Nothobranchius furzeri: one gene and its partners. The main gene of each other region encodes a partner of the protein of the gene in region 4 in a complex. Links are inferred from orthologs where the notes say so. Each region holds a gene or a part of one and is shown on either strand. Other genes may lie near its edges. The genes, in order: taf1a, gtf2a1, polr1b, polr2f, polr1h, ercc3 and ubtf.

Region 1 (4,064 bases), on a different chromosome or scaffold from region 4:
TTCCTCTTCTTCTTCTTCCTCTTCTTCTTCTTCTTCTAATAATAATAATAATAATAATAATAATAATAAATTTCCAGCAGACTATACGCTGGAATGTGCAATGCTGCCCACCACAGTTATATTACTGCTACATTATATCCTCGAATAAATGCCAGTGTGATGAAGGAATTGAACAATCAAGCTATATACACATTGGGAATTTGCACTAATCGAAAAAAAAAAAGGAAAAAGATTCCATCCCCAAATCCACCAGCCCCATAAAAAAGTTGCCGCTTCTCACTATTGTATTTCCTGCATGACAACAATAGCCTAGTGAACTAGACCAAATCCTTGTGTTGCAAAGTTTGCTAATCCTTATCTTAAATAATACATTTATTTAGTCTGGCTTGCCAGGCTATGACAACAATACATGAACAACAGTTTTGGAACTACCACACTCACACAACCCATCTACATGTTTACCAATCCTAAATAAGCATGCCGCCAGACCACAGTGCCCCAATCTCATTCTGGCAATCACCTCTTCATCTCTACGACAACAGGTTAAGGGTTGCCAACTAGTATGAGCTGACGGCTGACAAGGAAAATAAAGTCTTCCTCTACGTTCCCCTTCCCATTCTTTCTGCCACAAATTTTTTAAATAGTTACTGCATGCACATACTATTAACATTCTCTTTTTCCCAGAGGAAGATGATGATCAATGCTATTTCTAAGGATGGAGTCTTTGGCCAATGCATCTGCCATTTCATTTCCCAAAATTCCAGTATGTCCAGGGACCCAGACAAATACCACCCTAGAACCCGCATTCTCAGCGTCTTTAATGGGCCATTCCCATCTGTACCGGGTCGGCCCCAGCCTGGCCCGGTTGATTCCACACATCCTTGCCTTAAGCCCATGTGGGCTGATTCTACCCACCAATCAGAGGCTTGCTCTAATGGAAGGTGTGAATTTGCTGTCAGCAGTGGGTGTGTTGGCCCTGGTCGGCCTGAAGCAGACCCCCTCGAGAAGAGGGCTGAGAATGAGCCTTGGTTAGCCCGGAAAAATACCAGGCCACCCAGATATGTAAACAACCTACGCAACCCAGCCCGGGCCGACCCGGTACAGATGGGAATGGCCCATTAGACAACACAAAATCTCCAAAACTAAGTCATTCCATGCCTCAGATGTCCCGTTACTTAGAGTCAACAGTGCAGCAGCAGAATCAGAGCAGACAATAGTGTGAGATGGTTTATGCTCCACTATCCACTTCATTGCCTACAAAATAGCCAAAAGCTCAACAGAAAAAACAGATAATTTATCTGTCACACAAACACTTGACCTAACTTATAGCTCGACAATATAAACCCCAAAACCAGCTCTATGAAATGTAGTTTCTTTAGATCCATCAGTATAAATTTGGATAGCATCTTTGAACACTTAAATACATTTCTAACAGTTTAATGGCAACCGCTTTTTCTAATCCTAGTAAATCCAAAACAACTTCTGGCTCAGGTAATTTCCAAAACGGTATTGGAGACCACACTAACCCCACCACCATTTCCTTTTGTAGTCCTAGGAGATTTACTAGTTTTACAATATGATTTAGGAAACTGTCCTTATCCTGATCTTCACTGGACTCCCGACAATCATCTATGAGACATTTATACGCCAAGCTGCCACTAAACCCGGCCAATAATGAACTCCTAGTTTTCCCCTCCTCATTGTCAAAGGGTACTCACCCGTTTCAACCAGCAATGCTGGAACTGAAGTAGATCTAAATGCTCTGCAACAGATTCTTAGGGCCATAAACTGCACATAATCCAATTTACACAACACAGATTTAGAAGCTTTCCCAAAAACCACACATCCATAATCCAAAACAGGCCTAATCATAGCCCTATAGATTAACTGTAAAGTACTTCTCTCCGCTCCCCAGCTGCTACCTGATTAACTCCTCATGACATTAATTACCTTTTCACATTTGCTTACTAATCTTTCTATGTGTTTTCCAGATTAATTTCTCATCAAACCACAAACCCAAAAACTTAAACCTTTTCAATCACAGAGCCATAAATATGAATATTCATAGATGGGATTTTCCTTTTTAAGCCAAAGATCATAAATTTACTTTTTACTATAGATAACTTGAATCCTCCGTTATTTGCCCACTGCACAATTTGATCTAAAGCTTTCGGTGTCTGAGAAAACAAATGCTTAAAATTCCTCCCACTTCTCCAGATGGCACCGTCATCTGCAAATAGAGATTTTCCAAACCTATCATCAACTTTCTCAAAAATAGCTGTTTCCTGCTCTACCACACCTGAATGAAGTAATTTAATCATCTCCTTAACTCTGCATAGACCTTTTATTTACTCGTTCATTTCAATCAGGTGTGTAGGAGCAAAGAAACAGCTAACATGTGCAGGATGGTAGCCCTCTGTGTTGGTGACACCTGCTCAAGAGTGCTGCTAACACACAAGCTAGTTAGCGTTCTTAGCATAGCTGTCAATGAAAGACTGGGAATCTACCCCTCTTTTACTAAAGTAAAACTTTCCAAAATTATTGAAATTATTTGTTATCCAAAAAGAGCCAATCAGGATTTTAAAAAATCAACCATCCTCTAGCAGGATCACATGTAAACAAACCTTTGTTAGCTTACCTCCTCTCAGGAGTAAAGTTAGGTGTTTCTAAGGATTGCTGAATAATCTACAAATTATATAAGCTAATTCAAGTGAGCTACAAATGCCGGAAAATATCTTAAAGTGTGTTATAATATCAGTGTATACAACCGAGATACATATTCATATGACTTATTTGTAAAACCCACGTTTTAAGTACGGCTAAAGGAAGCTGGGGAGAAAGCTGCAATGCTATTGGTTAACTACACCGGAAAAGGCGGAGCTGATATTACATTGGGGCTTTTCTAAATAAAAGTCACAACACGCTTTGCAAGCGCTAAACATTTGATTAAAAAGATAATAATAAAAATTCAAGATTAAACATAGGAATAAAACTGAACAACACTGGAGGCCGAAAAATACATAAACACTAGCATAAAAAGAAGTTGGTGAGGAAGAGGGAGGTAAGCCAGACTAAACATGTTCCGAGCTTTTTAAAAGAAATCACTAGAAATAGTTGCCATAAGGAGGACTAAAACGCCCCAAAATGGAAAAATAGTGGTTCCAAAATGGCCTAATAAACATGAGAAATAATCTACAAAGATGATCTTACAAAACTATTTAAATCAAGCAATTGGTCTATCATAGAAAGTTCAAACAAAAATATGCAGAGTAACAAGCTTTTATGTAGTAGGATGTGCTTTAATTACTTGTTAAACAATCGATTCTCAATCCTGTGAAAATGACAAAAAGATACAACAGTAAAAAAGTTGACATTTTGGCTTTTTATTTTGGTGGTGCTTTTAACTTTATCCACTGACAAAGGTAAAAAATAATAATAATAAATAAATGTATAAATATATAAATAAATAAATAAAAAGAAGTTGTACCACGATTAACAACTATTTTTTACTTTTATAATAATGCATATTACTTCCATGTCAAACATATAAATATGATTACTTGAAACAGAAGAGTTCCGTCCATTATTTGCCTCCTTAGTTTCAAGAAACATTTTTATGCTTATCAACCAGTTTGGAAGGGGCCATTAGTTCATGATTTATGTCTAAATGTTGTCATTTTTTGCTAATGTGGGCATCATTAAGTGTGACCAAAAACTGGAAAGACTCCAACTCCTGCCTTTGGAGGGAGAAAACTAATCTGTAATAATCTGTAAATAAAAAATCACATTGGCACTCAGGGAAATAACCAAAGTGTGGATAAAAGCCAACAAATCCTGGTGTGTGGGGAGAACCACCTTAGAAAAACAGATACGGATACAGTTCATGAGAACAAATGCAAATCAAACAAAGCCTCAATAAAACACTGTCACATAAATAAAAGCACAAAAAATTATGGCAGCACCCAAAGACCAATACTTAGCTGCACCTTGGATGAGTATTTCTGTATTAAATATCAAACAACGTTTTGTTAAAGTGTAAAATATGACACAAAGTATCACTTGGA
Region 2 (4,152 bases), on a different chromosome or scaffold from region 4:
TCACTATCCGCTGTTGAAGGTGTGCTGATAGAAGACATCAGCATTGGTGGAGTAATCCATACGGATGGAGGAACCTAAACTCTGAACCCCAAGGCTAGCTCCGCCCAAAGCAGAGGACTGCTGTAAAGTCAGGAGGCTGTAGCCATGGAAACGGTCCTTCAACTTGTCTGATGATGCGGCTTTTTCCAGAACCTCTGTGAACCCTGCAGAAACACATAAAACATGCAGATGAGACTTCATCCAGAGGGTTTCATGGACCGTTATTACCATCAGCGACACAGACCCGGCTTCAGGAGAGACCAGCTCTTCCACACGGAGCCCACACACAGGACTGGCAGGCCGCGCTCACACCTTAATAACGCCTTAAACAACAAAACAGAAGAGAAATGCTCCAGTTTCATACATGCAAAAGTGAAACCAGAAGGCTTGTAGGTGTGGTCACCGGTTGAGCTGCAGGTAAAACTGACTCTACATGTTTAGCCAGAACTCTGCCAACCTGAGCGAACACATGCTGGCTGAGAGCATCCCCAGCCTCCGCACCTGGGACACAAAACACTCAGGATGACACTCTATTGTCCTAGAAACCTGAGCAGAAGTCCTGCTGCTGCTCACCTTCAGCCAGCTTCTTACAGAAGCCAGCAAAGTGGGACTTCTGGAAGTTCCTGCAGAGGTGAGGAAGCATTCCCATCAGATCCAACACCTGGGAGTAATGTTTTAATTATTCTGGGTTTAAAAGAACAGATTTGTCTTTGTGTTGCTGCTGTCTGACCTGGAAGTTCTCCTCCATGGCTTCTGTAACCCATGTGATGTCATAAGGAGGCGCCACCAAGTTGTCTTGAGCGTCAAACACCGTCTTCACGGCCAAACGAGCGATCCAGAAAGCTGAAGAAGAGATATGATTAAGATCACTGTGGTAACCACTGTGCCGTGCTGCGACCATGCTGACCACAGCCCTGCTGCTTCAAGGTCAAGAGCTGAGTCCGGTTGCAGGCCTCCTGCGACCATGCGCGAAGCGTTAAAATATGCCCTTCATGTCTTGGATGAAGACCCATCAAAGACTAACAGAGTTCTTCTCCTCTCTTCTGCAGAACAGAGTGCACATCCTCCTGCACCTGTTGAACCTGCACATGACTCAGTCGCAACGACGAGTCCTCCAAAACTGAAACATGCCCCAACGGTGTGTCCTGTGGCAACTGTGAGGTTTGGTGAGGTTGCTTCCGTTAGCTCTAAACCTCGAGCATCCAATGCACCTGTTAGCAGGTCAGGTAATCCTTACTTACCAGACAAACCTCCACTTAAGTTTTTCTGTGATATCATCCGTAAAGCTCCCAAGGAGAAACCTCACATCCCAGTGAACCTTGTGGGATCGCTTGGCTGTGGGGCTATCCTGGACTCTGGTTCGGACCTCACCATCATGTCCCGTTCTCTCTGGGAGAGTGTCTGCTTGGCTGCGTGCAGCTGAACAGGGTCGTGTCTTAACGCTCAGACCCTGCGCCGTGGATCTCAATCCTTTAACTCCAGATCCAATGGCCTTGTCGTCTGTAGCTTTCCTTGGAGTTTCGGTGGGTGGCATGTCTGCGAGACACCCAGTGTTTGTGTCTGACATTGAGGATTTTCCTTTTCTGTTGGGCGAAGAACTGCTCAAGCGCTTAAAGCGTTTCATTCTACTCGGTGGATAATTGGATAATAACATTTTTATTAGTAAAAAGGCTTGGAGAAAATAATAATAATAATAATAATAATAATAATAATGATATTTAAAATAGAAATACCCTAAACAAATCTATACTGTATTATCCAATTAAAGATTCATATTTTATCAATTTAACAAAATATTCTCACATTTAAAAGCATTAATTATTTCTATATAACTCAATATCAAATTATCAAATACTCCTCCTGGCAGTGAAATCGTATTCTTTAGCGTTAAACTAACTGAACCAATAATAATGCAGAGCACGCTGCATTAAAAAGCCTGGTAAACTTTAATGTCAGGCTTTCCGCTTTAAAACTACATTTCCCAGAAGCAGCCACCCTGATTAGTCATCAAATTCCGCAAAAATCTCGCGAGATTTTCTGTCTGAACCTGCCCTATGTCTCGCGCACTCGCAGCTCCTTCGCTCAGTATATAAAGCAGGACAGCGGCGAGAGGAAGACGGCTGGGGAGTCGCAGCCCGGGACTGTAAATAAGACCGTGAAAACTGTGTTTTATTTACAAAAGTGATGCCGGCTGTTCTAAACGATCTTTCCCAGTTGTTTTAAGTCTTTTTTTGGTCATTTTTGGCTCTGTCTCTCGCCTATTTCCGTGTGGTTTTTACACTACGCGTATAATGGCGAGCTCGGCTAACTCGAACCCAGTGGTAAGGATCAATCTCAACGGACTGCCAGTCGGGGGAAACGGGGGTAAAGTTGTCTAGAGGATGTGGAGGAGATGGGTTTTTTTCAGATGAATATGCTTGAACTAGCTCATCACTCCTGAGTGAAATTATAAAGGAAATACTAACTTTGAATAAGCCATAATTCGAAACTAGATATTCAAATGAAAACATGGCACTGAAGAAGCTTCTGCCGAGGCAAGTTTTGAATGATTTTACATTAAATAATGCTGGTTAAAGTGAAAATTTGTAATTACTTCAGGTTGAGACTTTGTTTAGCGCTAGTGTGATTTATCAGTGGCTGTTACGAGTCTTGGTTTATCATTTGGAGTCAGTGTTTGATCTTAGTGCCGTTCATTTAGCCCAGGGTGGATTATTGGACGAATTTGTTAGCCAGCTGACGTATTTGAGCTTAAATATTGGAAACCGCACATCTAATCAACAGACGTACCCAAAGCACATCGTCAACATCCACTTCCAAGTAAATTCAACTAGAGGATCTGATATTAAAAAGCCATTTTAGCGCAAAGTCTTGGACGCAGTCCGCGGCGCTGCCTCGTCGTGGTCCACCATTCCAGGACCAGAGGCGCAGAAAAGCGTCCCGAAACCCATTTTTGACCCATGATATCTCCGATGTCCTGCTCCCAAAACAAAGCCACCGAGTCAAAACTGGCAATTAAACGCATAAAACGAGAGCCTCTTTCTTTATTTGGCCTCATTTCGCTGAAAGAAAACGGCTCTGTGAGCGGGGCCGCTCCGTAAAATGGCTTCCACCTCTCCCGTCTCGCTCGGTTCTGGCCCTCCTCCCTGCCGGTGGCTGGCTTTATACCGCCATATTGGCTGTCTAATATAGACTGCTGGGATGGGACGGTGCTACACGACGCTACGTCACCGGCCCGCATATAAACACTTCACTGAGCTTTAATTTGTGGAGGAACCGACTGTCCGAGGGGGAGGGAAGGACGCACCGAGGTGTCCACCGCGGACATCGAGGCAGGGCGGTATCTTGGCTGGAAAGTCTCCGCAGACTTGAACGCTACGGTTGAGCTAGTAACGCAGTCCCGGCGGACATCTATGTAATTGTTTATGTTGACAGACGCGGTTGTGGATAAGATCCGGATGCTGAAGCACAGTTTGGATTATAATGGAGCTGTGAAACATTAATCTTGATTTATGCCAGGGGCGTATCTGAGATTTTTCAGGGTACGGGGCCCATCAAGGGGCCACAAAATTTATAGAAGAGCCAAGTATTAGTTCAGTGCCCTTAGGACAGGATTGCTTTATTTGTCATTGAACCAGCGTCTTGGTGCGATGAAATGTAGTTTCAGTACAACCTCTCCAAGATCAGACCGGTAATGCAAATATGTAAAAATAAGTAAGTGTGTGTGTGTGTGTGTGTGTGTGTGTGTGTGTGTGTGTGTGTGTGTGTGTGTGTGTGTGTGTGTGTGTGTGTGTCCGGTTTTAAAGTACTTTAAAGGTACAATATTAAGGGATTTTACAGTCAAATAATCATGTTGGAAAGAAGGTAACATTGACACAAATTTCATCCTCATGAAGTTAAAGATGTCATGAGCCGGACAGGAAGTGACAAGTGCGTCTGGTATATTTCAAAATAAAACCTGTGTCACATTATTTTTGCTGGCTTTTGTTTTATTATTGATGGCAGGGATATTAGTTTAGTGTATGATAGTTCATTAGTGTCGTTACAGGTGTGCCTTTAAATGTATTGTGTAGGACTTCCGCAAATGACGAATCGTGTCATGCCTAAAAGTGGCTT
Region 3 (4,188 bases), about 59 Mb from region 4:
GAAAGAAAGGAATCAGCACAGAACAACGAGCTGAAGCTCCTCTCAGTGTCTACTCACCAAACTGGGTGTAGCCCTGACCCCTGCTCTTCCACTTGGGTCTCGACATGGCGATGGGATAGTTCCTCCTCGGCATTATCAGCATCCGGATCACCTTCTCGATTCCGTTCACGATGAAGTAACCTCCCATTTCCTGTTCAATTAACCAGCGTTTAGACGACATCCAATAACAGGAGGAGTCGCGTCAGCTCGGCTCACCTCTGCTTCTTCGTGATGCTTTACGAGCTCCTTGGGGGACATGCCGTAGAGGTTACACAGCTTTGACTTCACCATGATCGGCACCTGGCCCAGGGACTGCTTAATGATGCCTTTGGGAAAGCCGTTGATGGACCAGCTGACGTCTGCCTGAGATGACACATCGTCACACGCCTCACTACAAAACCTGCTACCTCACAGCTGCTCTTGATGAACAGAACATCTATGATAGCTTCCAGTCAGGTTTTCGTAGAGCTCATTCTACTGAAACAGCTCTTCTTAGGGTCTCTAATGACCTTCTGACTCACAGTGATGCAGGGGACGGTTCTGTTCTGGTCCTGCTGGACCTGACTGCAGCCTTTGACACTGTTGACCATCACCTGCTACTGGAGAGGCTGAGAGACTGGGTAGGCCTATCAGGAACTGCTCTGGAGTGGTACTCCTCTTTTCTTTCTGAGCGTTTCTTTTCTGTGGCCGTCTCCAAGTTTAGGTCCTCCACCACCTCTCTTACCCATGGTGTCCCACAAGGTTCTGTGCTGGGGCCTCTGCTCTTCCTCCTCTATCTGCTTCCTCTTCAGCACATCCTGAGCTCCTTCAAAGGAATCTCCTACCATCTTTATGCAGATGACATCCAACTGTACATCTCCTTTAAGCCCCATGAGATGTCTAAGCTGCAGCTGTTACACACCTGCTTAGACTCTATCAAAACCTGGATGGCTGGGAGTTTTCTTCAGCTGAATGAAGATAAGACTGAGATCCTCATCTGTGCCCCAGACAAGCTGGTTCCCAAAGTCAGAGACTCTCTTGGTCAGCTTGCTTCCCACACCAAAACTTCTGTCAGGAATCTTGGCGTGACCTTTGACCCAGCTCTCACCCTGGATTCTCATGTCAGTTCTCTTGTTGGCTCTTCCTTCTTCCATCTCAGGAACATTGCTAAACTGAGTCCCATTCTGTCCCGCTCTGAACTTGAGACAGTTCTCCACACCTTCATCTCCTCACGCTTAGACTACTGTAACTCTCTTTTCACGTGTCTGACCAGAACCTCCCTGAACCATCTACAGGTGGTTCAGAGTGCCTGTGCTCGGCTTCTGACCAAGTCCTCCAAACACACCCACATCACCCCCCTTCTCCTCCAGCCACTGATTTCCCTCTTTCCTATTAACTCTCTCTCTTTATTAAATTTTTTTTAATCACAATTGCCTATTTTTGCTCATTTTAAATGTATTTTTAAACATTTTCTAAATGCTTTTTTATATTTTTACATTTTTTGTTTTTGTGAAGCGCCTCGTGATTTTTATCTTGAGAGGCGCTATAGAAATGAAATTTTCTTCTTCATTCCAACAGGGAGGTGAGAGAGTTAGCCTAGCTTACCACCACTTTTCCTCGGTAAGTACTCCTCCTTCCTCTGCATTCTGCTGGAAACACCTTCATCTCTGTGCAGATGCTGCCTTTGGCGACCAGCGGGTTCTGGATGGTTGCATCAACGAACGTGAGGCTCAACTTTTCATTTCTGCACATGAACTCTATCGGAGGAATCGCCTGGAAAACATCAAACAAAAACTGTCCAAAAAGCAACCAGACGATCCCAAAAATCAACATGACCCCAAAGGAAAATAATAACAATAATAATAACCTCATCTACAGCCTTTAATAGTTAGTGAAGCTTCTGCTCTACTGCTGAGTAAAGGTTTGACCCTTTTCTGATATATGAAGTAGAAATGATAAATTTTAAATTTTAAAACATGTTATTGGCCAATTTTGTCATTTTACTTTTCTGTGCAATACGATTTCAGCCTGTAGTCTCGAATTTTATGTTCTAAATTGACTCCGTGTACCCCCCCACCCCCACACACACTTCATATCCTTTTGTTTTTTTCTGAACACTCAAGGGGGCTGCATCTAATTTTTTATGTGTTTTCACTGTAATACAGATATTCATTCAGGTGGTCAGAAGTCATGCTTTTAATTTGAAAAGTTTGAAATGAAAACATTTCATTCATAAAAAGTAACTGGTCCAAATTAGCGATTACATTTATTTACTACATTTTATTTCGTAATTAACTGTTCATTGTTTCCGTTTTAAATAAAGGTTTTTTATTGCCGTTAGAGACACATGTATGATATATGTCTACCAGATCTGACACACGTGGATTAAACATGTTAAAGTCAAAGAGGGCAACGAGAGGAGGAAATTAACCAGGAGTAGTATTTAGTCATTTCTCATATCCCTGCTGGAGTATTTATGATGTTTTAAATTATTAAAGTGAAAAAATAATTGTAAACCTGACTTTCTCACTGACCTGCACAAGGCGGTTGAGTCCATCAGTGACAGCCTGATCAAACGACTCGATGTGGGCTTTAGTCAGGTCCTGAACGGCGGCGTGTTGCGTCTCTTTCAGTTTACCGAATTCTCCATCGGTCAGGTTCTTTAGACTCGGTCCTGTCGGTACATTACTCCACTTAGCTGAAAAGTCCATGTTGGTGTAACCCGGGACGCTTGTTTACCACATGGACATCACGAAACAGGAAGTACATCACTGAAACAGGAAGTAGATCTGTCGTTGCTTTTTTTTTTTTTGTTGTTGTTCTCGAGTGATTTGTTAGCGCCCTCTTGTGGAGACAACGATGCGTTACACCAGTTTCCCTTTGCACTTGACGTCACGCTGCTCATGGGACTGTTTTCATTCACTTTTTCTTTGCTCATGTTCATAAAGCACATCAGTTGATCTCATAACAAAGTCTGTTTTTATGTGTAATTGTTGAGAAGCAACGCTCACTTCTACTGTGAGGGTAGCTGATGTGATTGGTGGTCGCGTATTTTCCAGAAGGGGGCGGTGTGTCACAGCCACACAGCTGCAGTTTTCAATAGAGAAGCGGGGGAGAATCAACGCTTAAACTGCAGTAAAATGTGCAAAAGCAGCATCTGGAAAGCGAGTAAAATAACCTATCTAACACAAAAGCTTGTAAAAGACTGAGTCCCGCTGTATTACTCAGGCTGCACTACAGTGTCTATTCACAGGCGCGATCCCACTACTGAGCGGCACGGGGGCTTTGACCTGCTCCGTTTCCGACCTGGGCCGGTGCACCCCTCCTTAGACGACCTGGTGGTCCCGGGCTTCCCCAGAAGCACCATATCGATACCGAACTTAGTGCGGACACCCGATCGACATAGTCCACTGCAGCTCAGAACTCCTGAGCTCAAACGATCCGCCAGCCTAAACCTCCCAGTAGCTTGGATTACAGGCACGCGCCACCGCACCCGGCGAGAGCTTCCTGTACTTATTGGGCTTTTAGCCTGTTAGCTGTTGACGTCATCCGACAGCGACACCCAGTGGTGTATCTCTGCTGGCTGGTCGTATTATGAACCCCCTGATACTGTGAGTTGTAAAATGTGTGTTCTTTTTGATGTTATTTGTAATTTTTGTAATGTTCTGATTTTAAGTAAAGGTTTGTAAAAAACGAGTTGCTATGTGCCTATGTCGTTTTATATTGTTTTACCTCATTATCAAAACAATTTTGAATATGCCAATTGGCTATATAAGCTATCCCCATAGACTGGCTATCCCAGGTGGATGGTGAGTGAAACGATGTATGTTCTAAAGAAAATGAGGGATATAGGGCCCAACTAAAAGACAAAACTTATCTTCAGGGAGTTCATCACACAGAGAGCCACTTATATCAGTATTTTTCTCAAAACGTTGCAAAAAAATTTGAATTGGTTTTAAAAAAAATCATTTAAATTCACTTTGTTTATCCTATATGTGGCTGACAAGATCCTAACCTTTCTCGTTTAGGTAATTGACAACGATGTTCCAGTAAGCTATTACATGGGTACTGAAGCAAATGTTTTTTTAACATGTAAATCCTGCAGCTTGTAGGCTAAACAAAATTAATTTACCTGGAAATGATTATCTCTCAGCATTTAAGAGCATGTCA
Region 4 (3,877 bases):
GATCCGATGCTGTGCTTGAAAAACAGATTAGTACCTGCACGGGGTAGATCGCTGCTTCTCTAATTCTTGCCACTTTTTACATTAATAATTTTATCATGAGTGTTTTATTACTTCCTATATTTGCGTATCTCTTAAATTTTTCTTTCTATCTTACCTTCTGCACCAAATACCGCAGCAATTTCCTAATGTTGTGACTTGGCACACATATGGCAATAAAACCTTCTGATTCTGATTCTAAAAAGCTGGTCCTTTGTATGTATGTATTTATTTATTTATTTATTTATTTATTTATTTATTTCACTTTGGTGGAAACCGGCCCTGTTAAATGAGGGAAATTGCAGTGTACCACAGTGACCATCAGGTGGCAGCCTTGTGGTGTGTCACCTTTTAAAATAGGCGCGTCATGAATGTTTGGGTGACGTTCTGACAGACACGTTAGCTCTACGTGAGATGATTTATGTTGTTTGTGCAGATAATAAGCTTAAGACCACGTTCGTTAGCCATGACATACAACCAAATAGAGGGCCAAAAGTACATAAAAAATTTATATCATTAATTGAATGTGTCATTAGTTGGTTGAAATATGAAATAATTATGTATATATGATTTTAATGAATGTGCTATAAATAAAAACATTTATTTGATGTAAAAATTACAGATAATCATTAAACTGTACAATTTTAGTAATTATTACATGGCGGAGCTGGCAGTGAAGTCGAAATGGTCCTCTCTCCAGGATCTCAGTCAGGTCCACCGGTAGAACCCCATGGAAATCCCTGGCCAGTAGACATGATGATTCCTCCAACATGTCCTGGATCGAGCTGGGGGCCTCCTACAGGCAAGACATGCCTGGAACACTTCTCCTGGGAAGCGACCGGAAGAATTCTCATTAATTCATCGCTGGATTCAGCCCCAGTCTTCTCTAGTCAATAAACAGGCCTTGGATTTGGAGGAGTCGGTGTGCATTTTAGGATTTAAAACAAAATAATTAAAAATTTTCATCCATGGCCCATTTAACAATTTATGTATGTAATGATTTATTCGTGAAATAATTTGGCATTAATTTGATTAATTGCACATATAAATAATATTTTTTTACGTGTCAAATTCCTTAAATCTTTAGCACTTGATTATAACAATTCATTAAAGAAAGTGAGGAGAGAGAGAGAATGGGGATTATTCAGCCTTTATTTAACCTACAGTTGGTAGAATTTACAGATCAAACTAAATGGAAAATGACTTAACTCCAGAAGGTGGCAGTGTTGCAACGGTAAACCTTGTTGATGCTTCTGAAACATCAAAAAAAAAAAAAAAAAAAAAAAAAGACAGACCGGAAAGGGAACTCTAACGAGGTTCTTTTGGCCGACCGGAATGTTTAGTAGCGTACCAGCCAGTGCAACGTTCATGTGGATTCGTGTTGGTTACAAAAGTGTAGCCTAGAAACGTTAAAATATTTTACACGGATATATACTACTCTAAAAATTTATCATGTCGGACAACGAAGACAAGTAAGTAAAGAAATCGTTTAAATAATCTGCGTCATTTTGTATAATCGACGTAAGCTAACGGGGATGCTAACTCGATTAGCATCACACGGTATTGTTTATTATGATCCTTGCCTATTCTGTGTATTGCTGCTTACGTCCTGTTTTATTCAGTCTCCCATCCAAGTTTACGTACTTTTGTACTTTTTCAATAAAGCTTGTTAAAAGTTATGAATCACCTAAAGTTTAAGATATCTGATCAAAGGTTTTAACTCCGTAGCTTCGATGATGGAGATTTTGATTATGCAGAGGAGGACGAAGGACTAGACGACCTGGAGAACGTCGAAGATGTGAGTTATTACAGAGACGGATCACCACTTGAGACTTTTATGAAGCTGTCTCCTGGTCTGAGCTTGTTTGTTTTGCTCTGGTGAATAGGAGGATCAGGAGAATGTGCAGATCCTACCTGCAGGAGAAGGCCAGCAGGCCAACCAGAAGAGGATCACCACACCGTATATGACGAAATACGAGCGGGCCAGAGTGCTAGGGACCAGAGCCTTGCAGATAGCGTGAGTGTGTTTACATGAGATCACGGTTAAAGCTGAGTGTGTTTGATCTTTAACTCGTTAAACACATTTTCACTGAGAGTAGGTTTCCTCCCTAAACTTAGTATTTAGAGATGTTCAGTGAAATTAGCTGGGCTCATTTCGGGATTTATGTCAGTAAAAGTTTCGTTTTTCCAAAAGACATTTAACCCTCCCATTGTCCTGATGGGTGTGACCCCGCGAGGAAAGTTGACCATTGAGCAGGGATGATGGTTTATCCCTTGGGTCCATGTGGCAGGGGTGAGAAGTGAGCACCACCTCACCCCTGCCATGTAGACATCAAGGGATAAACCATCCATCCTGCTCAGTGGTCAACTTTCCTGGCGGGGTCACCCATGAAGACAGTGGGAGGGTTAAGTAAAAACTTAAATATGCTAAATAGCGCATTAACACCTAGTATCAACAGAAGGTTATTTAGGTAAATCAGTAAAATCAACTCCTGATTCTGTTTTTGTCTTGAGTTTGGGCTCTCTGAATTCCCACCAGCAGAAATTCCTGGAAACAGGCGGCTGCTTGTGTAAATGCCTCATCTGCTTTCAAAATAAAAGCATGCCAAAGCCCATTTTAAAGCTAAAAGTAGCGTTTGAATCTACATGCAGAATTATTTGTATTTAATTTCCAATGCTGGCTGGATGGCTGCAACTAATGAGTCACTTTTTTCCCAGCTTTAGAGAAATTAGCCCACTATAAACCCCATATTCCCATGTTGCATCAGTCTGCCTGAATAAAAGTGTTTTTCCTGTGCTGGCTTGATTCCAACAGGATGTGTGCTCCTGTCATGGTGGAGCTGGAGGGAGAGACTGACCCTCTGCAGATCGCTATGAAAGAACTTAAGTAAGTCACTTTGACAAGCACCAACTTTTGGCTTTGGTTTTATTTAACGAACAACTTTTTACTTCACTCATCTTTTCTTCTCTTTCTCCAAAAGGGGCAGAAAGATCCCCATCATCATCCGCAGGTACCTTCCTGATGGGAGTTACGAGGACTGGGGCTGTGATGAGCTCATCATAACTGATTAAACATCCTAACCAGCATCACACATCATCATCTCTGGACTTTTAGAGACTCACTAACTTTTACAGAGTTGTACGTTTGCCTGCTGGGATCCGTTTATGAATATGTTGTTTTAATTTCTTTTCACCATTTTAACATCTACTTGAGGAGGAGAGACGAGAACCTTTAGTTAAATACTTTTTATGCATCCGTGAGGAGTCTAAACGGCTTGTTTTGTTTTTCGGAAGAGACGGTGTAAATGAATGTTTTATTGTTAATAAAGTCATTTCTAGAAGCTGCTGTGATGGATTTATGTACAAATCTCTGGTTTAAAACAGAAATGTGTTGCTGCGGTTGTTTCATTTAGAAAATTAAATGTCACCCCTTCTTTCCACAGGAGCCGTCAGCAGCGCGTCATAGCTGCTGATAGGAACCGCTGTGGTCAACAGAACCTTTTCCACCGGAGCCGTCAGCAGCGCGAGTCGGCCGCTTCTCAGGAGCAGCATGTCGCGGCCTTTACGCGCCGGTTCTATTTTCTACACGCGACGCCTCTGAAACGGGTCAAGTTCGACATTTTTGGGGAAGGAAAGACAGGAAATCGGACGCGGAAATGGAGAGAAGCTCCCGAGATTTTCAGAATAAAGAACGTACTGCCTTCCGGTTGCTTTACTTTTAAAAAAAGTTACTAACTGTGCGGCCCCGTGAGAAGTTATCACCTAGCTAGCGGTCTCCTTTGTTTTTCAGGTCCGTATTGGCGATTCTAAAATGGACAGAACATAAAACACAAACCTTTTG
Region 5 (4,120 bases), on a different chromosome or scaffold from region 4:
AATCTAAGGGTGGATCTGTTAGTCAGGAAGCACTGATGACTTCGAGTAAGTGTTCTGCAGGCAGGACTGGGATGATTTAAATCCAGAAATTTGTCACTGAGGCATGTGAGACATGATGGTAGAATTGATATGTTGTTAATAAAGTTGCTAAAACATTTTAATCTTCATGATAACATTTTGCAACACGACCTTCAGTCACAAAGCTTTATTCTAATGCTCCACTTTTTGTAATCTTTTTCTGGGATGTCTTGAAAACAACAAAGGAAGATGAAACAACCTTCTGTGATCCATCCACGTCTGCTGGTGAAGTTCCGTTTCCTCCCTGACACATTATATGGCAGGAATTGATGGACCATTTAATTACTGAATGTGTGATGTCTACATCATCAAAGAAAGATTAATACTTGCATTAGGGCTTATTGTTTGTCATTCTTTTACTGTGTTCAAATTATGAATTGTATTTTTGATTTTCATTAACATTTAAAAGGAGTCCACAAATAATATAATATGGAAACAATTCATTAAAATAAAACACCTATGGAAAAGTCAGACATCCGTTCAAATTTTCTACATACATGCACCAAACAAATGAATGATCATAGGTTTCAGCCTGATAAGAAAACACAGCATCACTGTCTCAGCTGGTCGGTTCCAGTTTCACTCCAATGTGAACTAAACTAAATCAGAAAATTTCAAAATTTGTGATTTTAAGAACATTTGGTTTGTGTGACATCTGTAACCACCGATGTGTAGATTATTCTAGTGGCCTTTTTTTTCTTCTTCTTTTTTTTTTTTTTTTGTAAAATAGATAAAAATAAACAGTTATGAGCAGTACTGTTTTTGACATGGGCGACCTGGGTAATGGCCCAGGATGGCATCATGAGAGGGGTGGCAAAATGGGTACGAAAAAAAAACTTATTTTGGGAGCGCAGTGCCTGAACATTATGCTGGTGTGTGTAACTTTTGGAAACATTTGTTCTGCTGCGTGCTGCAGAGGGAGGAGGACAGGTCTGCTGAAGCGGCTTGAGTGAAGCAGCATCTAAAAGTAAAGTGTGTTCGCCCAGGGCACCGAACAGGCTAGGACCACCCCTGGTCATTGTTGCCCCAAATCTCTGCACAGTAATTATGAGTTTAGTGTTGTTTATTATTTCCACGTATGCTTTACTTTGGTATTGAAATGCTTCTGGAGATGCTATATGATATTTCCACCTTATTTTATTGTTTGACACCATTTAATGGTATTTGCGAATTAATTTAATTATTCCCAAATAACATTTTGGTCATTAACTCATGTCACGTAAACAAGCGTGCGACACTAGCACGTCCTGCGTCATCAGCCTGCGACAATAACGTGATAGGACCATATACATAGCTGTGGATAGGACCCTAGGACCTCTACTGCAAACAAGTGACCGGTGAAAGAGGTTTGTAACGTTTTATACTGACTTAATAAATGATGACAGTAGCGCTGTTTTGAACTAAATGTGTAAAGAATAGCCGAATACTAATATAAACATGTAAAAGGTTTCCAAGTAGCTCCACGTGCTCAATGTGCTGCTGCTACTACTGCTAATAATAACAATAACATTCACTCGTTAGATTTCATCACACAGCCAGGAGGTCTTTTAAAGTGTTAATTTATAAAGTGCTAAGTCTTCATAACGGAAGTTACGGTGTAACTATGGTTCTGTGAGTTCCTGGATGACTGCCAGTCACAGGGGTCACTCGGAACTTCTCGGGCGAGAAGATCCCGGGAGACCCGAACGTAGCTATCGGCGCGTAATTTATAGACTCGCGACCAGGTGCGCTACGTGTCACGTGCGTGACTTTGTTTACATTAGTACTCGACCTGCGCAGAGCGCGAGGAGATACATCCACTCTGTTTACTGCCACTGGCAGTCAGGAGGGAACGAAACAGAACCCATGTGAACCGAACGGGAAACCAGTGGTTCATGGTTTTGATTGTTGTTTTCAACGTGTCTGTGTTTCTCAAGAGTCAGCAGCCCGGTTCGACGGGATGTCTTATTTTAGTGGTGACCCGAACTTCTGTCCTGAATGCGGGAACGTTCTTCCGGTACCAGTAACCTCCAACACTGTCCTGTGTCCTCGCTGCTCCTTCTGCATTCCTGTTTCAGGTAACGTGTCCCAGAGCCGTTTCTAGCTTTGTGAGGGCCTGATTCAAGAGGCTGTTTGGGAACCCGGGTGGAGGTGGTGATGATTCCTCAAAGTACCACAAGTGTAGTAAAAAGAAAAAAAAATCACTTCACAGTAAATGTATTTAACGTGATAGTGATGCACCGATATGAAATTTTTGGGCTAAAACAAATATACAATATTAATATCACCGTTATGGCCGAAAACCGATACCGATATACCGACATTAATGCTTCTAAAATCAGCAGATTTTGTGTAGGGCTTGTGATCACACGTGATTACGCATAGCATTCTGCAAACTGTGAAATAAACGGTACTGTCGCAGAGTAGAAGCAGATTTGGGTGAAAGAAAGTGTTAAATCACATAAAATCCCAACAAGGATGTGGAATATACAGGGACATGTTATATAAAGACGTCGGGGACCGGTATGTGGACAAAATCATCATTATAAATGGTTTTGATCCACATAAAAGACCCAAGACTGGAGCACTGGTGACATATTGTTGCAGCTGCAGTTCTGCATAACAGACTTTTTCGGCTATCTTGTTTAACGTCCAGATGAGAGGTAAACGTTTAATTTGTTGGTTTTTCTAGTAAAACAATCAAAATTGTCATCCCTCAGAAGAAGTGTAGCGAGAAAAGTTATGTTGTGTATCATTAGCTTACCGGTAGGTGAGTGTAGCCTCTGTGTACGTGTGTGTTTCGTGTGCATGTTGCGGTTGAGGGAAAGAAACGATGTATAAAAACGTACACCATCTGTAATTTACCAGAATGAAAATAATTTGGAAGGTGATGTTTGGTCGCCTTACAGCTGCGATCCAAGTGAGCTAACAAGACTTTATGCTAGATACTTGGTCTCTGTCGTTTTGCCACTAAACAGGAAAACTGTGGAAAGTTAGCTTGTTTTTCACCTTAATTCCACTGGCGATCACGTGTGTCACATGAATTAATAATACATAAAAAGTATCAGCTGTTGTGCTACAGCTACTATTTACCGTCTATGTGGTAGATTACTGTAAATACAGGCATGAACATGTAAGCACACAAACAAATACATATATCAGGTGCATCCTGCATGGAGTAGTGACCGTAGCGTTTAAGTGGCTGGCTGACTAATGACGTCATAATGTGTTATAAATCCCATCTACTGGTGGAATCGGTGGTCTACGGGAGTGCTCCTTCCTGCAGCGGGGGTATATCAGTTTCTGACTGAATGAGCTGCTCAGGTTGATGTGTGTTGTTCATGATGGATGTTAGCTTAGCTAGCATCCTCCTCTCGCCCACCACCGATTCCAGGGGGCATCCCAGTACAGAGCTAGTCCTCTGCACCAGTTTGCCAATTCTGTTCTGGTCCCTGTCTGTACATCCGCTTCCCCAACAGGCCACTGCATAGAAAAGGGCAGATGCAACCGACAAATCATAAAAAGTCCTTCACAGAGTTCTGCATACTCTGAAGGACCTCAGTTTCTCAGCAGGTGGAGTCAACTGCATTTGAGATGGGCAGATGAAGGACAGTCCTTGTGGTAACTCTGGGAGAGCTTAGTCTGACTGATTGTTGCCTTTCTCCTTTATTGTTTTTTCATTAAAAACAATACGCATCCAAGAAGAAGAAGAAGAAAAGATCTCTTCTATAGCGCCTCTCAAGATAAAAATCACGAGGCGCTTCACAAAAACAAAAAATGTAAAAATATAAAAAAGAATTTAGAAAATGATTAAAAATATATTTAAAATGAGCAAAAGATAGACAATTGTGATTAAAAATGTAAATAAAGAGAGAGATTGAATAGGAAAGAGGGAAATCCAACACAATTATCTTGAATTTTAGAAACACACACACTTAAAAAATACATATTTCAATCAGGGATTACAATTATTATTTTTTTTTTCAAAATTTATCGTTTTAGCTTTTTAGAACAGTTTAATTTGCTTGTTGCTGTCATAACAAAAACACCTACAAAAACTATT
Region 6 (4,061 bases), on a different chromosome or scaffold from region 4:
CTGAAGATGTCCTCAGGGACCTGCTGGTTTGAGGTCTGTCCATCAACAGGCTGCTGTGAGGTGGATGGGTCTCCTTTTTCTTGAACAAACTTAGAAATCTGGCCAAAAAAGAGAAATGTAATAGGAAAAATAAATATTTTACACTTTTTACGTAACGGGGGTTTAGTTTAAGAAAATGGGAGACGTTTCCCAAAAATCTACCAAATGTTTCATTTTATACACTAATTATTTCCTAAATACATCTCTAGAATAAAACATTCAACACAGTGACATTTTCATTCAGTTCTATTTTGAACTTCTGCAAACCCCTGTAAATTCAAATATCATCCATCCATTTTCTTTTGCGTATCCAGGGTCATGTCACGGAGGCAGCAGCCTAAGCAGGGAGGTTCAGACTTCCCTCTCCCCAGCCACTTGGGCCAGCTCCTCCAGGGGAATCCCATGGCATTCCCTGGCAAACTGAGAGACATAGTCCCTCAAGCATGTCCTGGGTCTTCCTTCAGGTCTCCTCCTAGTTGGACATGCCCGGAAAACCTCACCAGGGAGGCATCCAGGAGCTGGAGATCACGTTCTGATGAAGCCAACAGGACAACATCAACTGCAAAAAGCAGATATCTGATCCTTAGAACACCAAAATGGATTCCCTTATAACCTTGGCTACACCTACAAATCCTGTTCATAAAAGTTATGAGCAGAATCGCTGACAAAGGGCAGCCTTGGTGGTGCCCAACTCTCACCGGAAACGATCAAACTTATGGGCTATTCCCATCTGTATCGGGTCGGCCCGGGCCGGGTAGCCCCAGTTGGTCCCAGCCTGGCCCGGTTGATTTCAAACATCCTTGTCTTAAGCCCATGTGGGCTGATTCTACCCACCAATCAGAGGCTTGCTCTAATGGAAGGTGTGAATTTGCTGTCAGCAGTGGGTGTGTTGGCCCTGGTCGGCCTGAAGCAGACCCCCTCGAGAAGAGGGCTGAGAATGAGCCTTGGTTGGCCCGGAAAAATACCAGGCCACCCAGATATGTAAACAACCTACGCTACCCGGCCCGGGCCAACCCGGTACAGATGGGAATGGCCCATCTCTGTCTGCAATGTGGACCAAGCTCTGACACCAGTCATACAGGGACCTGACAGCCTGTATCACAAGGCCTGGTACCCATACTCCCAAAGTACCCCCCACAGGGCCCCCTGAGGGACAAAATCAAAAGCCTTCACCAAATTCACATTCACAAAGCACTGGTTTGGTAGACTGGTTGGGCGAATTCCTGCGCACCCTCCAGAACCTCCCTAAAGAACTGGTCCAGTGTTCCACGGCCAGGACAAAAACCACATTGCTTATCCTGAATCTGAGGTTCGACAATCCACCGGACCCTCCTTTCCAGAACCCCTGAAATAGACCTTACCAGGGAGGCTCATGAGTGTGATCACCCTGTAGTTGGAAAACGCCCTGCGGTCCCCCTTTTTAAACAGGGGGACCACCACCCCAGTCTGTGAATCCAGTGGAACTGCTCCCGAAGTCCACGAGATATTACAGAGCTGCGTCAACCAACAAATCCCCACAACATCCAGATCCTTAAGGAGTATGACATACTGCTGATTTGCTGTGGACAACTTCAGTAATAAGCTCAGGGTCTGCTCCATCTGCAGAGCGAAGACGACATTCACGGATCACGTTATCCTGCAGGAGACGCTGAATCACATCAGGGAAGGTGCTCTCTACAAAATACCTAGAAGAGGGAAAACACAAGTGAATAAAACCGCTGAAGAAATAAATGTTTTTGCAGAGAGAGACGAAAGACCTTTACCTATTGTGTTTGAGCACAAGCTTAACTTTCCCATAGCTCACAGTGCAAAGCTGAAAGAGGCAGAAAAATACAACAGATGAGCAAAAAAATAAACTGTTACTATAGGATCACATCCTGTCTATCTCTGACCTCAATGAACTTGATGATTCCATCAGGTACAGATGTTTTACTGAGCTTCTGCAGGTACTCTATAATATCAGTGGTCTGCAGCCCCACACTGACTGCTGCATATAAGGAGTATGCAGTCAGCTTGTACTCATGGATGTGGTTAGGCCTGCACACTGGCTCTGCAATAGCCACTAAGAAATCCTGGGCATACTTATATACTGGTGAGAACGCTTCCAGAAAGATGTGTCCATCTGGAGCCTGTAGAGAAGTGAGAACAAGATTTCACCTCTAAGAGATTACTGAGGTACAGCTGTGACTATAAGCAGCAATGACGCATCATACCACCCAGAGAGGACGGGAGTTGTGGTCATTCTTCAACTGCATCTGTGCGCGGTAGTCTTTGGCTCCATATTCATCCAGTTTTGTGCCAGATTCATCCACCTGCTTCCCTGCAGCAGCAGGTACAGCTTCCTGAGACTCCCCGACTGTCACCTCTTCATCGTCATCTTCCTCATAGTAGCGTCTTTTGAACTTCTTCTCTATAGCAGATCCACAAAACAATCATTAACATTACTAAAACATTTTAAAAATCAGTAGTTATGTTAAGATGCCATGGAATCAAAACTACATTTTGCTCAGACGTATTTGCGCTAGTATATTGCAGGTTAGCGTTCGGTGACTAGCTCCACGCAGATTAAAATGAAACGTTACCAACTTACCTCGATCTCCTTTATCTTTTTTACCCATTTTGAAAGGTTTACATGGGTAAAGTCTTAAAAATAGTCCCAAATGTATTTAGGTAAACACACAATACGTGTCTTTAAATGATATGAAGGAATAAACGATGTCTAGACTGTGCACTAAAGTGGAGCTCTGAATAACAAGCGTTTCCGTTCAAAAACTTTCAAAATAAAAGTTTTTATATTTCCGTTTTTGCCACAGAGACAGTGTACAGTTGATTATTACTTATATTTACGATAGTTTAATACAATTTACGAAGCTTTAAAACTACTTATTCAAAAATGTGTTTATTAAAATCTTAATTAAAAATAAATCACAATAGCAGGTGCATTTGTTTTGGCAGAACACTTTGAAGACTTCCGCTGCTGCTCTATTGTTTACTTCCTAGGTTAAAAGCCATAGAGTAAATACAGGTTTTGTTTAATATCCCCTGAAAATACGTAACGAAATTGTTAGCAAAGATGTCCTCTGATAAAATTATAGGACCTGCTTTGCCTCCGATATTTGGAAATGAGAGCTCTGAGGACGACGTTGACGAAAAAGATTGTAAGATACGTTTTGTTAGAAGCTAACGTGTTGTGGCAATTGATCTTTTCGGGTTGCTCTGTTCACTTTTAGCTAACAGTTTTATTTATGTCGCCGTCTAGTTGCTGGTCCTGCTTTACCTCCTGGGTATAAACGGGGTGAACAGTCTAGCTCCTCAGATGAAAGTGAACCAGAGGTGGCAGCTAAGCGAGCCAAGACTGGGAGAGCTGCAGAGTGAGTTCTGGTTCTGGTCTCATTTGTTAGTTAAAAGAAATAGAACGAACTTGACTAACATGTGTTTCTGAACAGGGATGATGATGGGTTCTTTGGACCAGCTCTGCCTCCAGGATATAAAAAGCAACATTCACCAGAAAGGTGAGCAGAAACATCAATATTCTCTAGTAACATAAATAGCACGTGTAAGGACACTTCCTGTTTAGGATAACAGTGTGACATTTGTTTGTGATGGTATTTTCTCAGGGCACCTGTGTTGGGGCCAGCTCTGCCTCCTGGGTTCTGCAGGACTGAATATGACAGTGATGATGATGATGAGGAAGAAATTGTTCCAGGACCTGCCCTTCCTCGGGGCTACTGTCCCGAACCCTCCAGCAGCGAGGGAGAGGAGGAGGACGTGATTGGACCCATGCCTGCTAAAGGACCGATTCAAGATTCTGTTGCTCATGATTTTGAGTGCAGGGCACGAAGGATGAAAGATAAGCTAACAAGAGTGGTAATTTTTCTCTAACATTTTTCTCCTCATAATAATTAAATTATAAAAGGGGGCTGTTTCTTCTTTGTGTCTTAATGTGTTCTTGTTTGTCCTCTGCGTAATTAGGATGTTCCAGAGGTGGTAACTAGAGAAACGTGGATGACAGAGCTCCCACC
Region 7 (4,001 bases), on a different chromosome or scaffold from region 4:
TGTAACAGATCATTTCCAAAAATAAGACAAACTTGTTTCTCATTGGAGGACCTCTTTAAGAACTTAATCTAAATATTACATCTGAAAAGGTTTACGACCTAAAAATCATGATCTGAGCATCTCACCTCTTTAGAGACCTCTTGCCATTTCTGTTTACACATCTCTGCAGTGTAGGAGTTGAAGGCCACCTTCTGCCAGTCCAGATGGGACTCGGATGTTTTGTATTTAGTCAGATCTTTCTGTGGCAGAGCCACTTTCATGGCCTCCAGCAGCTTTAGGAGGTCATCCTGCGACCACACTGATAAAAAAATACATGTAAACTGGTTCATGGATTTATTAGTATGGTTGCATTATGTTTATAGTATGATGACAAAATGTGGAATTCATTAAAACAATTTCGTGATTATACAAGTATTTGTCATTTGTTAAAAAAATATATATAAATAAAAATGACTCATAAATATACTACCTTGGTCATGTGTCGCTGCCTCCATTTCTCCATTCATTTGTGAAAATGCGATTTTTGAACTACAAAAGAAACAATAAATTAATCAAAATCACTAAAATTCATATTTTCTAACTTTATTATAACTGATCTCTGTTGTAAGTCGTTTGAGTTGAAATGTGTGCCGACATAATGGTTTATGTTCATTACACCGCCCCTAAACGTTTACGCTGCATGGTGAGGCATAGGCTATTGCTTGTGACGGCTTCAAATCTCAAATAACACTGCGGAGGGCTTCAACTAAGCATATCTAGCGACGACAACAGGAGTCCCTGTCGAGCTTCTTTTTTATTTTTTTTTATTTTTTATTTTTGGGCCAACCGGAATTTGGCGAATTAGTGCTGTCCTTATTCTACAACAGAAGTATCGTGGACGCTCAGGAGCGACCATTTTCTCGCTCGGTCTGCTCGGTAATGGAGGACTTTCTGTCGGAGCGGAGGTTGGGGAGGATCCACGGAAGGAGGAAGCGAATGAACGTGGACAGACAGGCAGCTGTAGGCGACCAGCTGACCACGGACGGGGGATCTGCTTTCGGTCTCCGACAGCCTGGAATGGCAGCTTGGAAGCACTGCAGCCAAATGCGCCACTCGGCGGAGACGCCTCATCACCGTTGGACGTGGATCTAGCTCCGCCACGCAGCCCTAAAGTCTTCTCCACTAATGTTTACCCAAAACAAGAACGACTAAACTAGCATTCTACGCGTGAGGGGGTTTATGTGTGCGTTTTAGAATAATTCACTCAACATTTTGTTCGCTTTGTGGTATCACGCAGTTGTTTTTTGGACCAAAAAGCCAGAGCATTCTTCAGCGAGGCGTAGCCGAGCTGTGCTCCAATGATGGCGGATGACCGTTGTTCATCTTGTCCTTGATAGCTCAACCGTGTCTCCTCGCGTCGTTTCTAACACTACTTTCGACATATTTCTTATGTAAAATGCGCAGAATGTCAAATTCAAACGTCGGATTTATGACGTTTAGTCAAAAATACTACATAAATGTGGAAAAAAAAACATAAGACGCCGTGTAACTTAGCATGTCGAAAAGAAGCCTAAAATCATACCAGCATCTAAGGTAGCACAGTTAGTCAACAGTATTTGCTACTAATCAAAATTTGTGTCACACAAGGACGATTTAGGGATCACATTAACTTGTGTTTACAACGTATAATTAACATGAATTATTTGACAACCATACAAAATGCTCCAAAATATTCTAAATTAAGTTACACCAGATCGAAAATTAATAAATGTTAGGTTAAATTATTTGCGGAGGCGCGAAACATAATTAAAATAAAAAATATATGTACGGTGAAACAACATTATTGACCTAATTTTGAATTACTTCATGTTAGTGTTAGTTATTCTCCGTTTCGAGGAAAATGTGGGCTTTAATCGGCTCTTTCATTATCGGATATCTAAAGAACAATCCGCGGCTGAGCAGCTTCTCTGGCGCGACAAAACGGCTCCAGGTCCGCCATGCTACCAGCCCCGCTCTTGTAAGCAAACCTACCGTGACAAGGTCCAATGGCGTACTGCGAACACTGAAAACGGAGCCGAAAGCTCTAGCCGGGGCGTTGCAGACTCCCTTCCCTAGCTCCAAAAAGCGCATAAGCGAGGACGGAAAGGCGGGTTCTCCGAGCTCGGTTGTCGGTGGTTCTGGGCTAGTCAGTGAGAGAGAGAGGGGGAGAGGGGAGGGCGAGTCTCCTCACGGTGAGATATTAAACCGAGATCCCTGATGGCTGACCGAGAGGCGGCTAGCTGTTCCGCCAACAGCCGCGTGGAGGTCTCGGCGCGGAAACTACCGGAAAACATTTCCCCACGCGAAACAAACGATTGCTTAGCTAAATCCCGATGCTACGTGAAACTAATTCGCTTCATGAATTCACTGGGTGTAATTTATAGTAGACATCATACCACTGGGTCTTACATCCAGCTTCTTCCCCGCTGTTTGGGCAGAGAAATTCGGGTAAGGCCGACCTCGTCTGCGCCCTTCCAGCGGGGAGTTTGTTTCGTTACCACAAAGATCCTGCCGCCTAAGGAGCTTTGGTAGACAACATTAAAAACAGAATGTCTATTTTTCGACTTTTAACCGCTTTTCTGGTTTGTTTATCGCGCTCTTTCCACGTGTGGTTATGAAACCGACCGACTTTCGTGCTGCTTACCTGTCTCGGCGCGAGCCTCCGCGTCGCTGTGGATGAAGAAGGGGAGGGTTGAACGATAGCCAGCACTGCGCCGTCGGTCCTGGGCTCCAGTCCCCGCAGAGATGGTCCTTCCCCCCGCCTCCATCTCTCTCGCTGTCTCCCTCCAGTCAACGTGCAGCAGCTCTCTTCTCTCCATCCAACCATTTCCGCTACACCGACACATCCCCATGTTCCCCAGTGTTAACGCCGCTGATTTTCTGAGCTCAGCCAGCAGAGTTTATTGTTTCTCATCGAGCCCGACTTTCACGTCTCCCACTGAAGTTTGCATCTCTAACATTTCGTCTGCCTACACTTGAAAGAAAAATCGCTTTACTGGTTACCTAATTTAAACGCCACCAGTGAACTTTTTTTCATTGAACGCACACATCTTTAAAGTTTATAATTGACACCAATCAGTGTCTGATTATTCTCCTAACTCTTATTTCCGGTGTCCGTGCCGTTCCCCCGGCACCAAACCTCTTTGACTCAAACGTAACTGGCTGTTTGACAGCTTCATTTTAGCCCAGCATGTTATTTTTTCAACTCCACCTTGTGTGTTTGTGGGCGGAACCCCCGGCCGTCCAATCCAGTCCGTCCGATTGAAGGAAAACAAAGACTTTCAGGCACTCAGTCTTGTTAAACTGTGCTATGTTCACTTACAGTAGGAATAAAGTATTATTGGATTAGTGTCAGGAATTTAGCTAACTGGACAAAAACAGTCGTCTTTTGTTTTAGTTTAGTGATTTTAATATCAACCTTCCCAGGCACTACAGGTGGAAATTAGCATCCCCACTATAACCTGGTACATTGCATCTTTCTTTTGTGGTTAATGTCAAGTTGTGCACTGTCACTGTTTAAATAAACTTCTACAATTACAATTAAAATTATATAATATAGTTTGAAGAATTCAATTGTGTTATCTTTTTTGTTTACCTTAAATTTCAATTATCCTGTTCGTATTTATCTTTCACAGTAATTTATATCATGTTTCCTGTATGTGGTTACAAAGTATTAAATCGAATTTAACGTGTAATTGTTAATTACTTTTTTGTTTTGCCTTTGATGAAGATTGAAATCATGAATATGGCTGAATAAAACTAGACAATACTAGACTTAAAAATAAAACCAACTATTTAACCTATTAGCAGGATAAAAAGGCAGCTAAAATAGTAATTTTCCCATGTAGAATATTATGCTTGCGTATCATGTTTTTAGAACGTTTATGTTTTAAATAGTATTTTAAACATAATATAAGAATAACGAACACATTTCTCTCTGAGGAACAATCCTACTATAATTTATCTCATTAAGACTCTTGGCA

What was found.
Region 1: polr2f (region 4) and taf1a share a complex: the UniProt entries of both Homo sapiens proteins name them as parts of the pol I pre-initiation complex. The link is inferred for Nothobranchius furzeri from reciprocal best matches to the Homo sapiens genes POLR2F and TAF1A.
Region 2: polr2f (region 4) and gtf2a1 share a complex: the UniProt entries of both Homo sapiens proteins name them as parts of the TBP-based Pol II pre-initiation complex. The link is inferred for Nothobranchius furzeri from reciprocal best matches to the Homo sapiens genes POLR2F and GTF2A1.
Region 3: polr2f (region 4) and polr1b share a complex: the UniProt entries of both Homo sapiens proteins name them as parts of the pol I pre-initiation complex. The link is inferred for Nothobranchius furzeri from reciprocal best matches to the Homo sapiens genes POLR2F and POLR1B.
Region 5: polr2f (region 4) and polr1h share a complex: the UniProt entries of both Homo sapiens proteins name them as parts of the pol I pre-initiation complex. The link is inferred for Nothobranchius furzeri from reciprocal best matches to the Homo sapiens genes POLR2F and POLR1H.
Region 6: polr2f (region 4) and ercc3 share a complex: the UniProt entries of both Homo sapiens proteins name them as parts of the TBP-based Pol II pre-initiation complex. The link is inferred for Nothobranchius furzeri from reciprocal best matches to the Homo sapiens genes POLR2F and ERCC3.
Region 7: polr2f (region 4) and ubtf share a complex: the UniProt entries of both Homo sapiens proteins name them as parts of the pol I pre-initiation complex. The link is inferred for Nothobranchius furzeri from reciprocal best matches to the Homo sapiens genes POLR2F and UBTF.

Annotation. Positions count from the first base shown.
Region 1 is NC_091742.1:8,334,908-8,338,971, forward strand, and holds the start of taf1a (TATA box-binding protein-associated factor RNA polymerase I subunit A), read right to left. Parts: upstream 2,801-4,064; 5' UTR 2,639-2,800; intron 2,527-2,638; exon of another isoform or gene 2,108-2,526; intron 36-2,107; 5' UTR 1-35. UniProt on the Homo sapiens protein: Component of the transcription factor SL1/TIF-IB complex, which is involved in the assembly of the PIC (pre-initiation complex) during RNA polymerase I-dependent transcription.
Region 2 is NC_091742.1:19,637,728-19,641,879, forward strand, and holds the start of gtf2a1 (transcription initiation factor IIA subunit 1), read left to right. Parts: upstream 1-1,352; 5' UTR 1,353-2,330; coding exon 2,331-2,360; intron 2,361-2,826; exon of another isoform or gene 2,827-2,942; intron 2,943-3,599; exon of another isoform or gene 3,600-3,727; intron 3,728-4,152. Other genes in the region: N-acetyl-D-glucosamine kinase, read right to left, coding at 4-203, 284-362, 443-540, 613-700, 770-940. UniProt on the Homo sapiens protein: TFIIA is a component of the transcription machinery of RNA polymerase II and plays an important role in transcriptional activation. TFIIA in a complex with TBP mediates transcriptional activity.
Region 3 is NC_091752.1:7,757,473-7,761,660, reverse strand, and holds the start of polr1b (DNA-directed RNA polymerase I subunit RPA2), read right to left. Parts: upstream 2,801-4,188; 5' UTR 2,730-2,800; coding exon 2,553-2,729; intron 1,792-2,552; coding exon 1,624-1,791; intron 403-1,623; coding exon 256-402; intron 191-255; coding exon 58-190; intron 1-57. UniProt on the Homo sapiens protein: Catalytic core component of RNA polymerase I (Pol I), a DNA-dependent RNA polymerase which synthesizes ribosomal RNA precursors using the four ribonucleoside triphosphates as substrates.
Region 4 is NC_091752.1:66,414,096-66,417,972, reverse strand, and holds polr2f (DNA-directed RNA polymerases I, II, and III subunit RPABC2), read left to right. Parts: upstream 1-1,352; 5' UTR 1,353-1,488; coding exon 1,489-1,508; intron 1,509-1,764; coding exon 1,765-1,834; intron 1,835-1,922; coding exon 1,923-2,053; intron 2,054-2,851; coding exon 2,852-2,923; intron 2,924-3,017; coding exon 3,018-3,108; 3' UTR 3,109-3,377; downstream 3,378-3,877. UniProt on the Homo sapiens protein: DNA-dependent RNA polymerase catalyzes the transcription of DNA into RNA using the four ribonucleoside triphosphates as substrates.
Region 5 is NC_091751.1:25,535,633-25,539,752, forward strand, and holds the start of polr1h (DNA-directed RNA polymerase I subunit RPA12), read left to right. Parts: upstream 1-1,320; 5' UTR 1,321-1,424; intron 1,425-1,994; 5' UTR 1,995-2,017; coding exon 2,018-2,135; intron 2,136-4,120. UniProt on the Homo sapiens protein: Core component of RNA polymerase I (Pol I), a DNA-dependent RNA polymerase which synthesizes ribosomal RNA precursors using the four ribonucleoside triphosphates as substrates. Can mediate Pol I proofreading of the nascent RNA transcript.
Region 6 is NC_091749.1:40,321,580-40,325,640, forward strand, and holds the start of ercc3 (general transcription and DNA repair factor IIH helicase/translocase subunit XPB), read right to left. Parts: upstream 2,801-4,061; 5' UTR 2,658-2,800; coding exon 2,630-2,657; intron 2,450-2,629; coding exon 2,253-2,449; intron 2,169-2,252; coding exon 1,932-2,168; intron 1,853-1,931; coding exon 1,803-1,852; intron 1,725-1,802; coding exon 1,589-1,724; intron 99-1,588; coding exon 1-98. Other genes in the region: gpalpp1 (GPALPP motifs-containing protein 1), read left to right, coding at 3,113-3,197, 3,299-3,410, 3,486-3,551, 3,657-3,906, 4,012-4,061. UniProt on the Homo sapiens protein: ATP-dependent 3'-5' DNA helicase/translocase. Binds dsDNA rather than ssDNA, unzipping it in a translocase rather than classical helicase activity. Component of the general transcription and DNA repair factor IIH (TFIIH) core complex.
Region 7 is NC_091745.1:10,210,542-10,214,542, reverse strand, and holds the start of ubtf (nucleolar transcription factor 1), read right to left. Parts: upstream 2,801-4,001; 5' UTR 2,663-2,800; intron 2,168-2,662; exon of another isoform or gene 2,011-2,167; intron 529-2,010; 5' UTR 507-528; coding exon 470-506; intron 299-469; coding exon 126-298; intron 1-125. UniProt on the Homo sapiens protein: Recognizes the ribosomal RNA gene promoter and activates transcription mediated by RNA polymerase I (Pol I) through cooperative interactions with the transcription factor SL1/TIF-IB complex.